Linked DNA regions of Drosophila melanogaster. The protein of the gene in region 2 binds, or shares a complex with, the protein of the main gene of each other region. Each region holds a gene or a part of one and is shown on either strand. Other genes may lie near its edges.

Region 1 (4,649 bases), on a different chromosome or scaffold from region 2:
CCCACTCGAGGAGCACTCATTTTGGCAGTTTTATTTAAAAATCTGGACAAAAAGACCAGATAGCGACCGCTATTGCACAATTCAGGTACTTTAGTGTGACCACAGTTTAAAGTGGTCGAACGAACTACAGTGAAAGACATAAATATATGCACGGATTGCTAAATTTGCTTGGGAAAATAAGTAAGTATACTATGTATATTTCATTAATGTATTAATAACTTAAAAAGGCGACGTGTGAGCTTTAACCGTAGCCCAAGTCGCAAATGGTGGTACTTACCAATTCCATATAGATAGATGGGCTTCGTGAACAGCAAGATATCCGAGCTCGAATAACTCGTCGTGGCAGTTCAAAATTCCAGGGCTGGATATCCCCTCGTCTTATGTGCTCTAATACACACTCGGCGTGTAGCAGGTTGTAAGAAATTCGCGTTTAAAATCAAATAACTTAGTGGGCGCTGCCATGTTTTAAAATTTATTCGATAACCGATCCCCGACTTAAAAGGAAAAGTGTGACCATCAATTTATAAAATTTAGCTTATATTTTGTAAAAAAATTGTTGCTTCTTTGTTTAGGAATTTTTAAGAAAAAGCAATTGTGTCGCAGAACAAAACGATGGCTAAAACAGTAATTTTAAAAAGGCATACAACACATATAAAATTATTTTTAAGGTTAAAGAAAGATTTTTATAACAGAATTAAAATCTTCTAATTTTAAAGCAATATTAGGCGAACCCAAATACATGCCATTGTACAATGTAGAATTTAATGTTAAATCATCTCTATGTTAAAATAACAAAATATAAACATTGTCAATTGGAAGAACGATTCAAAATAAGCAACTCGACCTAGATGAATGAAATAGTACAATACATGCCATTTTGTTGCTGAATGATAAGCTAAGATTTTGTTGAATTTTGGCTTAGTTGCATTCGGAAATATATTTACAACATTTTGAGCACACCCTCCAAGCACCCAATTTATAACCAGACTTTCTTATCTCAAACCCAAGCCAAAGATATTACATTGTATTGTGTGTATAAAATCCGAAGAAGGGGCATTTATTTCGCTAAAGATGCGCGTGGAATCGTGAACTACATGTAATCTCTTTCCGGTCCGGGGGCCACCTGCCGCTTTCTAGGATCCCACGATGATGTTGTTAATGGGAATGTGAATCAGCTTGACGAAGAAGCCGATGAAGCCCATGATGGCGAAGCCCACGGCGGTGGCGATGGCGATTTTCTGGAACTCCTTGCGGTCGGGTTTTGTGCAGCGCTTCACCAGGCGGATTGAGTCCTTGGCGAAGGCGCGTCCGGGTTCGGCGAATTTGACAACCTTGTCCATTTTTGATTTGTGAGTATTTAACTAAGAATTACCAATGAACTGAATTGATATTTATTTTGCTGCCGTGTCGCTTCTTGCAGTGTTACCAAGTTCCTCAGCTCAAAACATACTAAAAATTAACGCCTTTCCTTTAGTTGTTAATAAATTTTTTTTTTGGTTGAAATATAAGTGTATTTGAATTATTTTAATTTATTTTGAGTTTTTCTTTAAATTGAACCCATTCAATTATTACTTTGAAGCAAATCATTTAATGAACAGTTTTTAACAATTGATTTGGGCACACTACCCTACCCTAGCGTCGATGGAGGAACGGTGGATTTTTGAACATATGGACGTTTTCTATTTATTTATTTTTTCGTCATTTGGAAGTGAATTCCAAATTCCGTGCTCCGGAATGGCGTGCTTATAGGCTTACATTTGCCTAATTTAGTAATGATCCTGAATAAATGATCCCCTGATTAAAAAAGTTCTCCTAACAGTGGGATGAGTTTGAAAGGTATTTAAAAATGCCGCCTTCTCTAGTAGAAGTACTACAGCCGATCCGTGTCCTTAACTGCTTTATTAACAGTAATAGTTTTGGGAGACACCGCAGTTTATCTGAGGGTTAGTTTATCTGAAGGTTAGTTTGTTTCCTGGTGGTTTGTTTATCTGGTTAGCTTATCTGGGGTCTAGTTTACCTGAATGATAATTTACGTGGGAGTTAGTGTAACTGAGGGTTCAGTTGACTGGTGTTTCGTTTAGCTAGGGGTTAGTTAATCTGAGGTTTCGTAATTTTAAAAGAAATCCATTTAATTATTACTTTGAACCAAATCATTTTTAACATCTTGTAAAGCTTTTAGAGTTGGTCACACTACCATGAACAGCAGTAAAATTGCAAATAAATATGTAATTATTTGGCGATAGAAAAATGGAGGAGTCACCTTACCTGCACAGCCCCTACCAGGTGGCCATTATAGCCACCGACCTGCACCACGAGGATACCATAATCCAAGCAGCCCAGTCCCTGGACTGTCTACACAAAACCATAAACTCGATTTTCGAGCGAATCGATGCCCGCTTGGCGAGAAATGGTTCAAAGGTTGAGGACATAAACAATCGTGTGAAGCGCGCTCAGGCAAAAATCGATGCGCTCGTTGGCTCCAAGCGGGCCATCCAGATCTTTGCACCCGCCCGCTTTCCGGCCAGCGACGTCCTGGCACCGCTGCCAGCCACCTTTCCACAGGTGGCAGCCAATCCCCTAATGGAGCAGCAAGTGGACCAGCTCCCGCAAGGGACGTACAGCAGTCACAGTGCCGCGGACCAGAAGCCGGATGATGCGGACATCTTTTTCCATGTACGTGGCGATCGGGAGCAGGAATCGCCACTGGTCGCCGAACGGAAGATAACCAATCGGACCGCTGGCCTGGGCATCCTGCCTGCGGGTGGAGTGCGCTCCGTACCCTCGCTCATGCGATTCAATACCAATGAGTTCGCCTACGGCGAGGATCTGAATGCCTGGAAGCGATCCCTACCGCCGCAAAATGCTCGACGCGTTGCCAGTCAGTCCACTCAACTCACGGGAGAAAAGCAGCTCGCTCCGGCACCTCATTCGCTGGCCCACGGCACCACCAAACTGGCCACTCCAGCTGGGGACCTGCGCTACAATCCTGCTGCTTTGGCTGCACCCGCCATTGATGTTCCGCTGGACCTGCCCGACCTACCGGGCATAGCGAATGATCTGCAATATGAGCCAGTGGAGGAGCAAACACCAATAGCGCCTTCCCAGCAGTTCGGTGATTTACCAGAGCTGCCGGATTTGGGCCTCGAGGAGCAGGATATAATAGTGCAAGCCATCGCGGCACAGACGCACATTCCGGGACCGGTGCGTAGGAAGAGTGTGGGACAATGTCCTTCGCCAGTTACGGCGGCACCACCGCCTCCTCCTCCGCCACCACCGCCGCCTCCACCTCCTCCACCAGCGCAGACGAGCGCAATTCCATCACCGCCACCCTTTCCCACCAAAGGAGCTGTGAAACCGCTCTCCCCGTCGTTAGCAACACCTCTTAACATGCCGCAGCCGCCTCCAGCTACTGAAGATCCGCGATCTGAGCTTATGGCCGCCATAAGAAACGCCGGTGGAGTGCATGGCGGTCGTCTGCGGTCGCCTGCGGCTGCGCCGCTCGACGTGGTGGACAACAGTCGCTCCAAGGCGGGAGGCGCTGTCACGGGGGATTTGATGGCAGACCTGCATAACAAGCTAATGCTGCGACGCAAGGGAATTTCTGGGAGCCAGAATCCCGTGGAGGCCACTGCTGGCAATCCCCTGATGCAGCAGCTCTCCCGCGTCATACCGCCGCCGGTGCAGCCCCGCAAGGGATCTAAGTCGAGTGACGAACACTCCGAGGACGACGAGGATGGGTGGAACTAGTGAATATTTAGCTTTAGTACCGGTTTAAGTGCCTTGGCTGGCTTAAAGCACTAGCAACCTAGGTTCTCTAGCTTAAAGCATACAAATTTCTAAAACGAATTCCAAATTCTGTGCCCAAGCGAGCATGCCAAATTAGGTCAAAGTCAACCAGTTGAATAAAACTACATATTAGCAGAAATGTGTGTAATTTCTTATTGAGAACATTGGCTAACTTTAATTGATAAAATTACAGGACAATGAAACATTTTGTGATGCTAAATGAAATAAAACAATTCTTTATACTGACTAAAATAAACTCGATATTAAATTATAATAAAACACTAAATTCTAGTTTTAGATAACAGCTATTTTCCTATTTGAAATAAACGAATTTCCCTGTTAAATCCTTAACAGCGCTGTTGTGTTGCTCTCTGCCAGTGCTGTAAAATGCCGCAGTGGAATCACATTTCGGGTAAAAACAAATTGAAATATCCACCGAATTTAAATATTAAAGTTAGAGAAGCTGCCAAATATCTGGAGTTACAATCAGGGACAAGGACAAGGACTACTACACTAGAGGAGAGCTTTTACAAGCAATCCGGTGAAACCACATATAATGACAAGTCCGTCGCGGGATATAAACGATCTTTTTGACGATATTGTCCTGACCGAGGAGAAGGAGGCACGTTTGGGCTACGAGGAGGGACTGAAGGACGGCCAGGAGCAGGGCAACGAAGAGGGCTATAAATTGGGCTACGCCCAGGGAGTATCCCTAGGCGAGGAGCTCGGCAAGATTCTGGGCCAGGTGGTGGCCCAGCAGCAGCTGAAACACACGGACAAGGTGCGTCGCAGCTTGGAACAGTTGCGTTCGCTCATCGAGGAGTTTCCCCGCACCAACGATCCGCAGGCGGACATAGTGGGTG
Region 2 (6,376 bases):
AGAAGATCGAATCTTATGGATCGCAGTCTGGCAAGACCTCCAAGAAGATCATTGTGGCTAACTCTGGTTCTCTTTAAGAAGGTGCGATGCAAAAGCAACAGCAACATTGCAAGAAGAAAAATCTGTTAAGACGAAAACCATTTGCATTTTCTCCAAAACATTTTTTTTTACCAATTACTGTACTGTAATATTACGAGAAAAATACATAACAAACCAACATATTTTCAATAGACATGTTGGGTTTCCTTTGGCCAATCAATTGTATGTGGGGGCCAAAAGTGAATAGAATTAGTGCCCACCAATGTCAGAAAGCGTTCAATTGGCTATATAATATGCATTAAATCTGTAACTTTAACATTTCCATTCACAAAAAAAAAAACAAAGAAGAAAAACAATGAGACGACAAGAGTCGAGAGGGGCTTAGAAAAATGTTTGATCTTTTGATGTTGGCTTACTTACTACTAATAATAGTATTAGTAATGCTGATTATCTAATTGCATATATATATATATATACCAACGTTCTACGCTATGTACCGGAATCGGAATTGTATTTTCGTCTTAATAAATCTGAATAAACGGCAACCAACTACTCAATTGTTTGTTGTCACTGCTGGGATCTTTGGTTTTGGTAAATGGACATATTTTATTGGAAGAATATTTCGGAGCTACTCAAGGTGGCGTACAATAGATTGTATTCATGCTCGTAGGCGTTCACATGTCGTTCGGTTATCGCCACTGTCTGGTGAAGCTTCTCGTCCAGCTGCTCCGGCGCCGTCCGCTGCTGGCCCGCCAAAATGTCGCGCACCTTGGAGCGCTCCGCGTTCAGGTGCTGCGTGATCGTCTGGCTCCAGCCCAGCTCATGGAACTCCGTCTGCTGGTTCAGCATGTTGAGGATGTAGACCAGGCCGATGGCGAAGCCATCCTCGAACAGCGAGATCTTGGTCTGGTCCTTTTTGTAGATCTTTAGCTTCTGCTTGACCCGGTAGTCAATGTAGTTCATGATGAGCGCCGGTGTGATGAGGTAGAAGGTTCGCAGGTGGTGGTTATGTGGATTGCACAAAAAGGGCTGAAAGCCTTGCAGAAGAAGCTGCAATATAAATCCATGGGTTAAGCTGGTTACCTAACTTGTTAAGATCGTAGACTGCACCTTGAAGTAATTTGTGCTATCGGAATAGCACTCCTTCATGTGACCCAGGCTCTTCTCGTACTCCCTGATGGAACCCTCCGTAGCCTCGTGCACTTTGGAGCCCCCGCAACTGAAGTTGCTGTCGAATCTGGTTTTATACGAGCGATTCCGGAAGTTGGCATTCTTGCTTCCAGCCTGCAGGAGGCGCACATAGCCAACAGCGTTGCCTAAAAGCAATATTTACGTTTATATTTTAAGCATTTTCTTGAATTATGGTCTTTAACCACCTACCGACTTGTGTGATAACCTTCCTGAAAAGATCCATATACGTCTCGCCATTGCTGGAGCAGCCTAGCCTTCTGATCTTCTTAAGAAAACTATCGGCGCGCTCATAGGGATACGACTGATAGGACTTGCTGTGCTTGTGCTCCGTGTGAAAACGCAGCTCCTTGAGCAGCCGCGACTTGATCTGCTCGTCGTGGAGGAAGGTGGAGAAGGTGTAAAACTTTTGGCGCAAAAACTGGTATATAAAGTTGACGGTGGTGTTGATGATACCGGTGCCGTGCGTCTGCACCGAGTTGGCCACGTGCCGGGTGCCAATGATGTCGAGGTGCTTGCTCCTGCTGTTCGTCTCCACGAACACCTGCAGGTTCATGTTGTAGGCATACGAGGAGGCGAAAGTGTGTATATTCCGCATGATCTGCAGCACGTCTATGCCCTTGAAAGTGGGAAAGAATTGTTTGGTTAATAGAAGAGATTGCTTATTGATGATTCAATTGGTTACCTGGTCAATTATCTGATTGGGCAGGTGGTCATCGATGGGTTGCAGCTGCAGCACCTTGTTGGCCAAATGACGCATCTTTTCATACGATTTCCAGTCGTGCGGAGCGATTGTCGTTAAGTTGTAGAACGTGGCAGTGAAATAGTTCTCAAGATGATCTAAAATATGTTAATGAATGGCATGATCTCTCAGTTTTGTAACCGATATCTTACCTTTTATAATATTGTAATCACCATCGTTTTCAACTGCAACTGCATTGATGCAGAGACGATAGTCTAAGGCACTTTGCTGGAATGGTTGATCCTGGCTCTGGAAGAGATGCGAAAGGGCCTCCACGCGCAGAAAGAACTCCAGGTGGTTGCTCAAAAACTCAATGATCAAGTCATTCGCTGATTGCTTGGGACACCTTGAACCCCTGAACATGGCCATGATCTTGTCCAGATGATGGCTCACCGACACGAGGTTCTGCCGATGATAAATGGCATAAACATGAAGTTGCTTTGCCAGAAACTGAGTAAGAAACCAACCTGCAAGGAGTAGGGATTGCGTTGGAGTTCGGTGTACTCCTTAAGCACCGAAGTGTCCAGAAACCAGTGATTATATACCAGACTCGAGGACTCCGACGTGTTAAGTTGTCCACCAATATTCCGCATAATGTCGCTGATACTATTAACACGATGTAGGATCGATTTGATCAACTTTTGATTGTCGGCGGGCAGGAGGCGATTATCTAGAAACTCCCCGAGGGCTAGATTTACGAAAGTCAAACGTTGCTTGCTCGGAAATCCCATAATGGACTTCTCGGCCAGCTTTATTGTGGCCAAAAAGTTGATCTTGCGCTGCAGCAACTTGAGGACAACTATCTTCTTTTTCGTTGTGTGCAGCAGGTGTATGACCTTTTGCTTCTGCCATTGTATCAGTGAGCTGATAAAGCGCACGAAATTGATTTGGTTTGACTCAAAGGTCTTCTGAATGACCTTCAGGTACTGCAGCAACCGAGAGACGACGATCCAATCGTTTCTGGTCATGGGCGTCATCAGAGCCACGTGCCGATTGATCAGCGCGACTGCCAGCAGGTTAACTTGATCGGCATAGGAGTGTCCATTGAGAATCAACTGCAGAAAAGTCTTGAGGTGTCCAAAGACTCCCACATCGAATACCCTTTGCATTTGGATGGACCACAGCGATAGTTGGACGCCCAATTGGCGACAGGTCCTCTGATCGCTAAGCCTAAACTTCTCCAATACTGTGCTATGAACTTTTGGGCCTTGTCCATCTTGCGATCGGGCTGAAGACTTCATCAGGGTTTTGGCATGTAGAGAGAGGAATCCGGAAGGCGACCAGAAAACGCTTCGGTTGAGAGGCACCTGCTTATGCCTGGCCACCAAATCGATCACATTCTTGACCAGTTTTCCCTCCATCTGGATGCCTAGCTCATGGACGACGACCACGAAGGTGGTAAGTCGAATAATGTGCTTGGGATCCTCATAGTTTTTAAGTTCGTTACTCGGATTCGCGTCGACGTCGAGAAGCTGCCTACGAATATAGGCATTGGAATGCTGGGTGATGGGGCTAACACTATTCAGGCCAAATTGCTTCTTCAATTCCATCAAATTGTCCAGTAGAATCTGTTTGGAAATATCCATGAAAGGGCGGTTACCATTCACGTTTTTCTTTGACTTACCCGAAAGAAATCCTTGGTGATCAGATTCTCTATATCCATTAGCGATGTACTAAGGCCATTGAGCTCCAAGTTCGCTGATTGGCTATTGGATAGGTTCATCAGCCACTTCTTGTACAGCGCCCACATGGTGGATATCTTCGATTGGTTCGCCAGTTCATTGAATACCACTATGTGTTCCAGTAACTCACTCATTGCATCAAAGACAGCCTGCAAGTTTCGACTTCAATTGGTTACTACACTTGAGATGTGAGTTCGATCGTTGACTTACGAATATGTGGACTTCATTGATGTCCATTGGGACGCTAACAGATGCGGCTATTTGTCTCCAAAGGTTTTGGAGTATCACAATCATGCGATTGAGCAAGAAGTAAACCTGGCAGAAGAAGTCCATGGAGCTGCTCATGCGGACCAAGGATCCCTCCAAGCCGGCGGAACCCTCGGATGTGTGGGTATGTGGCGGGAGCGTATCATCTAATCGAAAGTCGCTGAAAAGGAATGCCAGCTGGAACCGTTTTGCCTTCCTGGACAGATTTCTGCACTGATTGCACAGATTCGCCAGAGTTGTCAGCGGTTTATTGGCCACCAGCTCCGATTCCTCAAAGCTTCTGTCCGGAGCCATGGAATCGTTGCCCATAAAGTTTACCTCGACCACGGGCGACATATATACACACTGTGCAGACTCGGAAACATCCCGATTAGGCACTTTATCTCGCAATAATTTCAATTTCCCATCGTGCTCCGATATGAAGGAGCCGTAATCCCGTAGGATATCCTCGGCAAACATAGCTGAAATAGAAAATATATAGATAAGAATAGTATTCCATAGCTGATATCGGCGTTTTCATACACATAGAGCTTTGCTCTTCCTTCATGTCTACCAATTTTAAAAATATTATTGTTTTGGTTTTCTCATGGCAAATTTAGGGATGGGGCATTTCAAGTGGGTGGATTCCGATTCGATAACGCTAAATTCTCGATATCTTTTGTTTAAACAAGCGTAGTTAAAACCCAAAAACTGTGTAAAATCGAAAATCGCGATTAATTGAATGGAAAAGTTGGTAGCATGTCTATTCCGATAAATGATTTATTTATACAATTTATAAGCAAAAATAATCCTCAGATAATAAATTCATTTTATTTATATAAGAAGCAATATAAATTTTTGATTCAAGAAACAGCGGTAAAAATACATAATCGTAATGACTATGAATATATGCAATACCTAGTTTTCATTCTGACTTAACAAATTAAATCAATTTCTATAAGTTTGGTTATCGATTTCCAAGGATTAAAATCGTACTCCTTGACACGAATACCTGTACGTCGCAGTCTATTTTTAAAACAAGACTTTTGTCCATAAACAAATTTAATTTTGATATTTAAGTTTTGGACTTAAATGTTTTGTAGAATAAGTTATTTCGGATGTCTTATCATAGAAGTTTTGTTATCGATAACAAAAGGCTTGTCGTGTATAAGGGCCCTAAACAGCGTGTATGCATTAGTGTATGTGTACACACAAGCGTTGATGTTCCGTTTCCATTCGTTCCACTGGCCTTACAAATGCCGAGCAATAAAATCGCGTCGTATTTTATAAGTCATTGCAGGAATTATTTAATTTGAGCCTGAAAGCAGTTTGACCAACTGACTAGGCAAATTTGGTTGTGTACTACTAAAAATTTATAGGAATAATTAGTACGGCATGGAAACGTCTGAAATAGGTTGATTACCAAATTGATTCTTAATGGAAATTCTTGTTTAACCATTTTATACACTTAATTTTCAGAAAAGGCCGGCGGCGACGAAGCCGAGACCTTATCCGAGCCACTCGAGAAGACCACAACAGACACGGCCGCAAAAGCGGAGCTAAAGGAAATTCAAGATACCAATCCCGACGCAACCAATTTCGAGCCAGTATTGCCAGAGAAGAGCAAGAGCAAGTCTCCTTCGCCGGCACCCAAGAATGGTGATGATAATGCCGAGGCCATCGCCGATCGCTCGCGTAGTCGCAGTCGCAGTGCTACCAGGAAGAGCGCATCCCGCTCCAGAAGCGGATCCCATAAGTCCCGCAGCGGATCGGTGCACTCGGCAGCCAGTGGCCGGCGTTCGCGCAGTGGCTCCAAGCAGTCGCTAAACGGTTCCCGGCGGTCGCGGAGCGGCTCCGCTCCGTCCCGCAGTGGCTCCCGTCATTCTGGCGCAGCACCGGGATCGCCTGCTGGATCCAGACGTTCGCGCAGCGGCTCTAGACGATCCCGCAGCGGTTCTAGACAATCCCGCAGCGGCTCTAGGCGTTCCCGCAGTGGATCTAAGCAATCGCACCGCTCACGCAGTGGGTCTAAGCGATCCCGCAGTGGATCACGTCGCTCCCGCAGTGGCTCTAGGCGATCCCGCAGTGGGTCTAAGCAATCCCGTGGTGGATCGCGCCGCTCCCGCAGTGGGTCTAAGCAATCGCGCAGTGGATCACGTCGCTCTCGCAGTGGATCTAAGCGATCTCGCAGTAGGTCCGGTTCTAGACGCTCAAATGCATCGCGGAGCGGTTCTCGACGTTCGCGAAGCGGCTCTGTATCTAGACGATCTCGCAGTGGATCTGGATCAAGGCGTTCTCGAAGTGGCTCTAGGCGATCGCGCAGTGGATCTAAACGCTCCCGAAGTGGCTCCATTTGCTCCCGGAGCGGATCCAGGCGCTCTCGTAGTGGATCGGCGCGCTCTCGCAGCGGATCTCGCCGTTCCCGCAGTGGTTCTAGACGCTCACGCAGTGGCTCCAGACGTTCTAGGAGCGGATCGAG

What was found.
Region 1: SWIP (region 2) and wash share a complex: the UniProt entries of both Drosophila melanogaster proteins name them as parts of the WASH complex.

The regions. Positions count from the first base shown.
Region 1 is NT_033778.4:12,178,454-12,183,102, forward strand, and holds wash (washout), read left to right. Parts: upstream 1-2,039; 5' UTR 2,040-2,087; intron 2,088-2,169; exon of another isoform or gene 2,170-2,172; 5' UTR 2,173-2,247; coding exon 2,248-3,747; 3' UTR 3,748-3,920; downstream 3,921-4,649. Other genes in the region: EndoG (endonuclease G), read right to left, coding at 1-20; CG8860 (uncharacterized protein), read right to left, coding at 1,134-1,340; CG13175 (uncharacterized protein), read left to right, coding at 4,343-4,649. UniProt on the Drosophila melanogaster protein: Acts as a nucleation-promoting factor by activating the Arp2/3 complex to induce actin polymerization. Participates in both linear- and branched-actin networks.
Region 2 is NC_004354.4:16,311,883-16,318,258, reverse strand, and holds SWIP (strumpellin and WASH-interacting protein), read right to left. Parts: upstream 4,551-6,376; 5' UTR 4,441-4,550; intron 4,380-4,440; 5' UTR 4,378-4,379; coding exon 3,862-4,377; intron 3,801-3,861; coding exon 3,594-3,800; intron 3,538-3,593; coding exon 2,437-3,537; intron 2,375-2,436; coding exon 2,122-2,374; intron 2,068-2,121; coding exon 1,913-2,067; intron 1,847-1,912; coding exon 1,420-1,846; intron 1,356-1,419; coding exon 1,150-1,355; intron 1,090-1,149; coding exon 646-1,089; 3' UTR 509-645; downstream 1-508. Other genes in the region: Cyp1 (cyclophilin 1), read left to right, coding at 1-77; CG9915 (uncharacterized protein), read left to right, coding at 5,293-5,311, 5,377-6,376. UniProt on the Drosophila melanogaster protein: Acts at least in part as component of the WASH complex which may regulate wash nucleation-promoting factor (NPF) activity and is required for its membrane targeting during endosomal sorting.